Caenorhabditis elegans: one gene and its partner. The protein of the gene in region 2 purifies or fractionates together with the protein of the main gene of each other region. This does not show direct contact. Each region holds a gene or a part of one and is shown on either strand. Other genes may lie near its edges.

What was found. The genes of interacting proteins can lie anywhere in the genome.
Region 1: the proteins of sftb-2 (region 2) and rsp-3 fractionate together in Caenorhabditis elegans (co-fractionation; one large-scale study listed by BioGRID). This does not show direct contact.

The regions. Positions count from the first base shown.
Region 1 is NC_003281.10:12,686,201-12,689,780, reverse strand, and holds rsp-3 (putative splicing factor, arginine/serine-rich 3), read left to right. Parts: upstream 1-1,864; 5' UTR 1,865-1,874; coding exon 1,875-2,044; intron 2,045-2,091; coding exon 2,092-2,479; intron 2,480-2,545; coding exon 2,546-2,764; 3' UTR 2,765-3,080; downstream 3,081-3,580. Other genes in the region: spin-4 (Major facilitator superfamily (MFS) profile domain-containing protein), read right to left, coding at 1,012-1,152, 1,205-1,359, 1,415-1,454. UniProt on the Caenorhabditis elegans protein: Plays an essential role in embryogenesis.
Region 2 is NC_003283.11:126,476-132,212, forward strand, and holds sftb-2 (PSP proline-rich domain-containing protein), read left to right. Parts: upstream 1-1,761; coding exon 1,762-2,052; intron 2,053-2,100; coding exon 2,101-2,878; intron 2,879-3,715; coding exon 3,716-4,359; intron 4,360-4,976; coding exon 4,977-5,072; 3' UTR 5,073-5,196; downstream 5,197-5,737. Other genes in the region: W03F9.1 (Zinc finger protein ZPR1 homolog), read right to left, coding at 23-103, 154-174; W03F9.2 (C2H2-type domain-containing protein), read right to left, coding at 614-946, 993-1,255, 1,306-1,363, 1,420-1,476.

The sequences.
Region 1 (3,580 bases), on a different chromosome or scaffold from region 2:
ATTATTCACGAAAAATTGTCCCAAAAATCACCATTTTTTGCCCATTTTTCATTGAAAAAGTTTCTCAATTATCGCCTTTTGCATGTTTTTTTTTCCATTTTTTTCAGGTTTTTTAAAGCTAAAATTATGGCTCAGGGCCTGCGTGAAATCAAAGAGCATAAGGCGCAGATTGAGGCAGGCGAAGGTCACCTTGAGGTCAGGCAGGCAGGCGTTTCAACGCCTACCTGGAAGCCCTATCTTAAATGGCCGGAAATCAGTATTTTTTGGATTTTTCAAAAAAATTGAAAAAAAAACTCCATTTTTTCTGATTTTTGGACATTTTCCGCTTTTTTAAGAATATTTTTCACAAAAATCAATTTTTTGGAGAAAAAACGCATTATTCACTTGAGGGATTTTTCAAAAAAATTGCAAAAAAATTTTTTTTTTTTTTTTTAGTTTTTTCTCAGAATTTTGGACATTTTCCGCTTTTTTAAAGAATATTTTTCACAAAAATCCAAATTTGTGTTCTTTTTTTGGTGAAAAATGCATTAATTGCCCCAAAAAACTCAGATTTAAATTTTTTTTCTTCAAAATTTTGAAGCACTTTTTTTTTTGATATTCCAAAAAATATCTTAGAATTTTGGTAATTTTTCCGCTTTTTATAGGAATTTTTTTACAAAAATATTCTTTTTTTTCTCTTTTTATTCGATTTTCGCGGCAAAATATTCAGAATTTGTGTATTTCCAGTGAAAATTTGCCACAAAATAGCATTTTTCGCATGATTTTTGCAAAAATTGCCAAAAAAAGCGTTATAAACGTCATTTTTTATCTTCTCTCTTCTCGGTGTCATTATTCCATTATTGGATTGACCTCTAGAGCCTTCCCATCGGGCTCATTGACCTCCAGACCGCGATTTTCCCGCGTTTTTGGCTCCGCCTTTTGATCTACCACTGGAAGTGGGCTCAGACTGTCTTAGTAATTTATTCCAACATTATTTCCTTTCTATTATCGTTTTTTTCCCTTTTCCCTTACCCCTTCCCCACAAAAAGACGATGCAAAGACTGCTAAAATCCATATGCAAATTCCAGTGATCATTAGCATTTTTCGATTGTATCGATCACCCAAATATCCGAATAATGGCGCGAAAAACATGTAGAACACAATGAAAACTGTCTGAAATTATTCGGTTTTTAATTAATATTCCACAATTTTATTCAATTTTTACTTGCAAAAGGCCTTGCCCCTTATCGTCGATATCGAAAAATGTTGCAAGCCGCGACATAACTCCCACGATTGTGTATCGATCCATGTAGTTTAGCAGGTTTACGAGAAGCAGAATGGAACAAGTAACCCATTTCTTCTTTCCAGCAAGTCGGGAGGCTGAAAAAATCAAGTTTTTCGATTTAAATAATTAAATTTTCGATTAAAAACTCACCAACGTCCAAACCACTGCCTTCCTCAATTTCATTTGGCATTTAGAATTTCTGAAATTTATTATTTTTTCTTATTTTCTAATAAAAAACCGAAAACCACAAAAAATAAAAAAATACGTGACTAAAAATAACGCAGGCGCGCTCCACCGAACTCGTTCAAACTTGGCGGGAGAATGCTCATATGACGCGTTGCGGTCGCGTCGCGGTCGTTATTTTTTCGAAAACGAAGGCCGTGGCACACTCATTTCTTGTTTTTTCAGACAATTTTTATTATTTTTTCGAAGAAATGCTTGAGAATATTCATTTTTCTAAATTTTACTCGATTCTGGGTTTCTTTTCAGTCAAGTAAATGCAGTAATTTGAAGGATTTTAGGCCCAGTATTTTTTTTATTATCAATAATCTTCAGTCGCCGATTTTTTGCAAATAATCATAATTATTTCTTCATTTTCAGTGTACTAAACATGCCACGCGGCGGCTCAGAGGACCAAAAAGTCTACGTTGGCAACCTGCCAGGAGACGTCCGAGAGAAGGAAGTCGAGGACATTTTCCACAAGTATGGCCGCATCAAGTACGTCGATATCAAGTCAGGACGTGGACCGGCGTTCGCTTTCGTCGAGTTCGAAGATCACAGGTTCGTTTATTGATTTCAAATACTTTAATTAATCAATTTTATTCCAGAGATGCCGAGGATGCGGTTCGTGCTCGCGATGGCTACGAATTCGATGGCCGTCGCATTCGCGTCGAGTTCACTCGTGGAGTCGGACCACGTGGCCCAGGCGGTCGCCCACTCCAAGACGGAGGTGATCACCGCGGTGGAGACTTCCGAGGAGGACGTGGTGGTGGTCGTGGAGGTGGACCTCAGAGAAGAACCGGATACCGAGTGATCGTTGAAGGTCTTCCACCAACCGGGTCGTGGCAGGATCTTAAGGATCATATGCGTGATGCTGGAGACGTCTGCTATGCGGATGTGGCTCGAGATGGAACTGGAGTCGTCGAGTTTACTCGTTACGAGGATGTCAAGTACGCTGTTCGCAAGCTTGATGACACCAAGTTCAGATCACATGAGGTGAGTTTTTACTATTTTTGAAACTATAAAATAAATCAAAAATTGAATTAAATTTTTCTTTTTCAGGGTGAAACTGCCTACATTCGCGTTCGTGAGGACAACTCTTCTGGAGGCGGAAGCGGTGGTGGTGGCCGTGATCGTAGCCGTTCGCGCTCTCCAAGAGCCGAACGTCGTGCTTCGCCAAAGTACTCACCTCGTCGTTCTCGTTCCCGCTCTCGCAGCCGTTCCCGCTCTCGTTCTCGCTCGGCCAGTCGCAGTCCATCTCGCTCACCATCTCCACAATAAAGAGACAGCGTCTGATTCTTGAAACGGTATCGTTTTGCAATTTGAGTCGTCTGACAGAGAGTTCTGATACAACTATATCTTGCTAATTTCTTTTTTTTTGTGCTGTTTCTAATACAATTCCATGCCTCATGTTCTCCTGTTTACACACACCTTTTTCTTTTTATCGATCTTTTTGGATATATATATCCACAATTTCTTCTATTTTTTATCACCTATCCTTAATTCAAACAACCACATCCAAGTATTCATCAGCCCCACCTATTATTATTCAATAATTTCTTTTGTTGGAGGAACCACGAATAAAATGTTTTGTTTCAGCCTCCACTCCGCTTCATTCAAACTATTGGAGGAAAGGAGGAGGACTCTATAAGGAGGGAAACTAAAGGATCGCTGGACGATCAAAAGCGGGGACACACCATATCGATCGAGGATCGAATCGGTTTTTACACGATTTTCGAATCGACACACACACACACACACACACACTAGGACCCCCGGAAAAAGGATTTTATGGGAAAAGTTTTGGATTTGCCCCCTGGGTATTGTTAGGAACATAATTTAGTTAAATTTTGACCTGACGAGAGTAAAAAGAAGGAAAAATTTTACAGTTTTGGGTTCGAAAACCCCGAAATCTATTAGGAAAATCCCCTCGAATATGAGAAAAAACTAATCCGCCATGTTCAGGTGAGCCGGTGACCCGCTTCCCGGCTCACAAAAATGAATCAGCCAGGTGAGTTTCGACTTGGAATTTCGAATAAAAATTTTGAATTTTTGACTTGTGTTTTTACTTTTTTAAATTATTATTGAAAACAGAAA
Region 2 (5,737 bases):
AAAAACTGAATTGGACGCCTACATCTTCTTCGCACACCGGGCAGACACTATCAACAACAATTGGAGCAGCCTCATAGTCATCTGCTGACAAGTTTCTGTAGATCTGAAAAATATTTAGGAAATTGTGCCGTAAATTCTAGCAAAAACACTTACATCTTGAGAATCCGCAGCCATTTTACTTTAAAAAATGAATTTGTTGATTAAAATCGAAAATTATCTGCTTTAAAGTATTAATTTTAGAGAGAAATCTGGAAAAAACTGGAAAAATCTGGAAAAGAAAAACAAAAAAAATTCAAGTCTGCAAAGTTGCGTGACGGTGTTTGCGGACAAACGCCTGCGCCTCTTCATTTCGCGTTGTGCCTCGCGGTTTTTAATTATAAAATTTTTTAATAATTAGAATTCAGTACACATTCTTGTAAAGCCTTCCTATCTTGTGTCACTGAAGCTTTTTCGCAAAAAAAGCGCTTCCAAAGTAGCAGAAGAAACTGAGAAAAATGAATAAAACATTAAATGTCTGCGCTAAAATCTGTATTTTATTTTTATTTCAAAAAACGAATAAAAATCTTGTGATGAAGTTTTATTGACGGAAAATCGAATGAATATTTCATTTTTATCAAATTCCAACAGTATCTTGTTGCTCGTAGTCGTAGTTTCGGGATTCCAGAGACAGAAGTGCTGGATTGCCGGGCTTTTGAGCATTTGTAACCGATTTTTCTTGTGGCGGCGCTTCTTTTTCAGTTTCTGTGTGTTTTGAGATCATTTCATGGCGAAGACAGCATGGAAGATGCACTTTCACAGCTTTAAACTTGATTTTTTGAAGTTTTTCAATCATTTTCAGCCCATTTTCAAGTCGTTCTTTCGAAATTCCGAGTTGCTCGGTGGTTTTTGCATTTTCCAGACATTCGATCAACTGATTTTCCTTTGCAAAATCCGTCTGTTTGATGAGCTAAAAATTAATTAAATAAAATATAAAACGCAATACTAAATTTCACCTGAAAACTGCCAGGTTTGCCACCATGAAAATGTTCCAGGTGGTGCTTTCCTTCATCTTCGGTGTGAAAATTCAAGTTCCGGCATCCAGAGCATCGAAACGGGCGGTATATTATATGAGTCTGGAGCATGTGGAACTCGTATGCCGCCCATGTTGACCAGGCCACGGAGCAGGTTTCGCAGACAGGCCTTGGAGCATTTTCGGGAATCGATTCCCCGTAGGAGTCTGGATTGAATTCGGGAACTGATGAAGTTGGGAGTTTTCCTGAAGGTTAAAAAAAATTAATTTCACAAATAATATTTATAAATAATCACGTTTTAATGCAGAAGCTGGCTGAACAACTCGGATGGTGCACTGGCGTTGAGGGGAGCTCTGAAAAAAGAAATCTATAAAAAATGGCAGTATTTCTCAGCTTATTTGCAACTCACGAGAGTGACTAGATAATCGTCATGGTCTTGGGCTCCTGATGTAGATGGCTCTGTCATTTCAACCTGAATTTTCTGTTTTTAATCTTTTTAAAGCATTATAAAGCTTTAAAAAAATTTAAAAAAAAAAGAGAAAATTCAATGATAAAACAGTGTGCAAAAATGAGAGACGGAGAGTATTTGGCGTCGGTTTCAGTGTTTGGTACGCAAACACCGACCCATTGCGTACTCTTCGAATTAAATTTTTTTTGCGAATTTTTAGATTTTTCAACGTTTTTGCGGTTAAAAACCTCTTTTCCTCATTGAAAACTTTTCAATTTTCAACTAAATGTTTTCCTTTTTCAGATGTCAGGCGAGGATGACTACAATTCAGACGATGAGGCTAACAAGAACCTATCTAAAAAGGAGCTTCAGGAGTTGAAGAGAAAACAGCAGAAAAGCAAAAAGAAGAAGGAATCGAAGAAGAGAGCAAAAGCCACGAAGCAAGCTGAAATAGAAACACGAGAGGAGCCGAAAAAAGAGGAGGAAAATGGTGACGATCTTGACGTGGAAATCGATTATATCGGTGAAACAATTGAAATTGAGCCGGATAACCCGCACGCTCAATACTTTTCCGCAATTTTTGATGCTTTTAAGGTAACATATCACTATTTGTTAATGTTTTTCCAATATATCGGCTTCCAGATCTCCACCGACTCAGAAGACGGCTTCTCCTACGGCCATCACGTTTCCAAAGGCGAGAAAAAGGATGATTTGGGAAAAGTCGGTCAGGCCGAGCGAATTATTCAAGAGGAGATGGAAGAACGTGCCAAAGAAAACACAGAGGAGAAGCTTTCGCGTAGAAAACTCCGAATTTCTCTTCAACCGAGTATTGCAAAGCTTAAAGAGACGACACTTCGAGCCGATGTTGTTGAATGGGCCGATGTGACTTCTCGTGATCCGTATCTCCTTGTCGCAATGAAATCTTATAGAAATTCAGTTCCAGTTCCACGCCATTGGAATGCAAAGCGTAAATATCTCGCCGGAAAGCGAGGATTCGAACGGCCACCATTTGAGTTGCCAGATTTTATTAAAAGAACCGGAATTCAGGATATGAGAGAAGCGCTGCTGGAAAAAGAAGAAAGCCAGAGCCTTAAATCAAAAATGAGAGAGCGGGCCCGCCCGAAGCTTGGAAAAATCGATATTGATTATCAAAAACTTCACGACGCGTTCTTCAAATGGCAAACCAAGCCGGCTATGACAAAAATGGGCGAGCTCTACTATGAAGGAAAAGAGATGGAGGCGATGATGAGAGACAAGAAGCCGGGTGAAATGTCGGATGAGCTTAGAATTGCACTGGGAATGCCCATCGGATCGAATGCGTTCAAGTTTCCACCGCCATGGTTGATTGCGATGCAACGTTACGGACCACCGCCCAGTTTTCCGCATATTAAGATTCCTGGATTGAATGCGCCGATTCCTGGTACGGTAAAATGTTCTGGATGTACTATTTTAGAGCAGAAATCTAAAAAACATTATGAAAAATTTTACATTTCAACATAAAATTACCAAAAACCTAGAAAATTGCCTGCTAAATTTCATTTTCAACGTAAAATTAACAAATCTGTGAATTTTTGCACCTGTACCGACCACAAGAACTGAGATCGTGGCGAGACCCGCTTTAAGCGCCAAATTTTTGCAAAATGATAAATAATTTTCTTTTGATAAAAAATTTTCTTCGCATAATTTAACACACAAATATTCATAAATTCTGCCAAAAAAAATTATTATGAAATTTTCAGATATTTTTTTCGCAAAAACATGTTATCCTGAAAGAAATTAAGACAAACTTGACAATTTTATGTTCAGTAAATACATTTTACGAAAAAAAAATGTCTGAAAATTCAGAAAAAATTTGGTTTTGGTTGAAAAAATTATGAAATCAAATTTAGAAAAATAAAAAATAACTTCTTTCACGATTTTCAAGCAAAAAATACGATACTGGGTCTCGACACGACAAATTAATGTTTAATGCGAGGTGCTATATTTTGATCAATTTTTCCAAATTTATCAATTAAAAACTCAAAAAAAAAACAAGTTTTGGTAAATTTTGGGAGATGCCACATTGAAAAGTTGGTTAAATTTTCAATTTTAACGGATTGTAGGTCATTTTTTGAGCCACCATAACTTTTTTTGAGGTTTTAAAAAAGTGTGCTTATGAAATTCGGTAGTTTAAACGATTTCGAGTCTAATAAAGCAATAAAAAATTTCGACTACAACTTTAAAGCCGTAAAAATGGAAAAAAAATTGAAATTTTCAGAGGGCTGCGCATTCGGCTATCACGCAGGAGGTTGGGGAAAACCACCAGTCGACGAGTACGGACATCCTCTGTACGGAGACGTGTTCGGATTGGCCGCTCCAGCTTTCGAGCCCGAAGACGAATCGCAAATCGAGCGGCGATATTGGGGAGAGATCGGATCCGACGAGAGCAGTGACGAGGAAGAGTCGGAGGAGGAAGAACATGCCGACGATGATGATGCTGATGTTGAAGGAGGATTCCAGACACCTGCACCGGTTGAGGGAATGATCACACCATCTGGAATGACGACTGGAATCACTGGAATCGAGACTCCTGACACGATTGAGCTCCGGAAAGGAAAAGAGAGCTCTGTGCTCGGAACAGACACTCCTGCGGCTGCCTATCATATCATTCCGGAGAAGAAGAACGAACGTATCGGTGGACAAATGATGGCATCCTCCCATACTTATGATCTTTCCAAGAAGCATGCGGTTCGTGACGATGGAGTTCAGATTTCGCTGGATCCTGAGTCTATTGATATGGATGAGCAAGGACTGGCGGCTCGGTACGAGGAGCAGCTCCGAAAGCAAAAGCATCGGGATGATGATGATGAGGATCGAGAGGATTTGACGGATATGGTGGCTGAGCACGCTGCCAAACAGAATGTTAGTGTGTCGAAAAAAAAAATTTCTTGAAAATTCAAAGAAACATTTGAAATTTGTTGGAATTTCCCTAATTTTACTGTAAAAGTACTCTAGTAGTACTGTAGGATTACTGTAAAATTACTTCAGCACGCGGTGCCAATCTGTCCCATTACAGTTTGATCTACAAAAAATGCGGGAATTTTTTGCCCAAAAAAAAAATGACGGCGGCACGTTTTTAACCATGCAAAATCAGTTGAGAACTCTGCGTCTCTACTCCCGCATTTTTCGGAGATCAAACCGAAAAGAGACATTCTGACACCAGTGTTCAGGAGTACTGTAGGTGTTTTGTAGTAGTAGTAAAACTTTAGGGGTACTGTAGGGATACTGTACTGTTTTTGTATTTTGAAAAAATAGTGGAGATACCGGGGTACTGTAGTTTTGAAAAAATATTTCTTTTTGAAACGATAATGGATGGGATTATGGACTTTAGGTATACTGTAGGAGTACTGTAATTTTGAAAAAAAGTGTTTTCTTTTCTTCGTTGTAGTATTGTAGGGATACTATATGAGTACTGTAAAAGTGAATATTGAAAAAATAGAAAAAAATATCGTCTCAAAAAATTAAATTTTCATTTTCAGAGAAAACGCAAAGTTCAAGATGACAAGAAGAACAAGACGTCATCATCCTCGTCGTCAGGATCCAGTGGCAAGAAGCATAAGGACTTCAAATTTTGAAAATCTGATTGTTTTAATTTATTATTTCTTTCTCTCTTTTTTTTTGTAATTTTTAAGCTTAAATTCCAATTTTTCTGTCACCCCAAATAATCGCCCCACAATTTCAATTAAATGTATTCTGTAATTGAGAGTTTTATACATTTTTGGAAAAGTTTTACTATAAGAATTTGAAAGTGCACAAAAATTGGAAAATAATTTTTTAAAAATAAAAAAAATAAATTTCAAAATGTTTCGGTTTCTCAAAAAATAAAAATTAAAAAAAGTCGAAAATCATAAGTAAATTTAGAAAATTAATTTTAAAAAAAACGTGTTTCGTTTTGCTTCCAGAAATAATCGAAAATAAAAAAAACTTTATTTTTTTAGAATTGCAAAAAGCGGGTCCCACCACGAAAATGTCAAGCTACAGTAACCCCATTTTCGTCGCGAGACCCAAAATTTCCAAAGTTAAAGGAACCTAGTCATGATTATACTTATTTCAAAGCTCTCAATGAGCTGAATTCAGATTTTGCAATATTTTTTTGAAATTTCGATGCGTTTCGTTGCGGGACTCAAAATTTGGAGAATTTCAAAAATTGGCAAAACATAGTCAGCTAAATTCAAATTTTGCAGTAATTTTTTTTCTAATTTTTCTAATGTACTTTCACTGAACAATTAATTAAAATTTC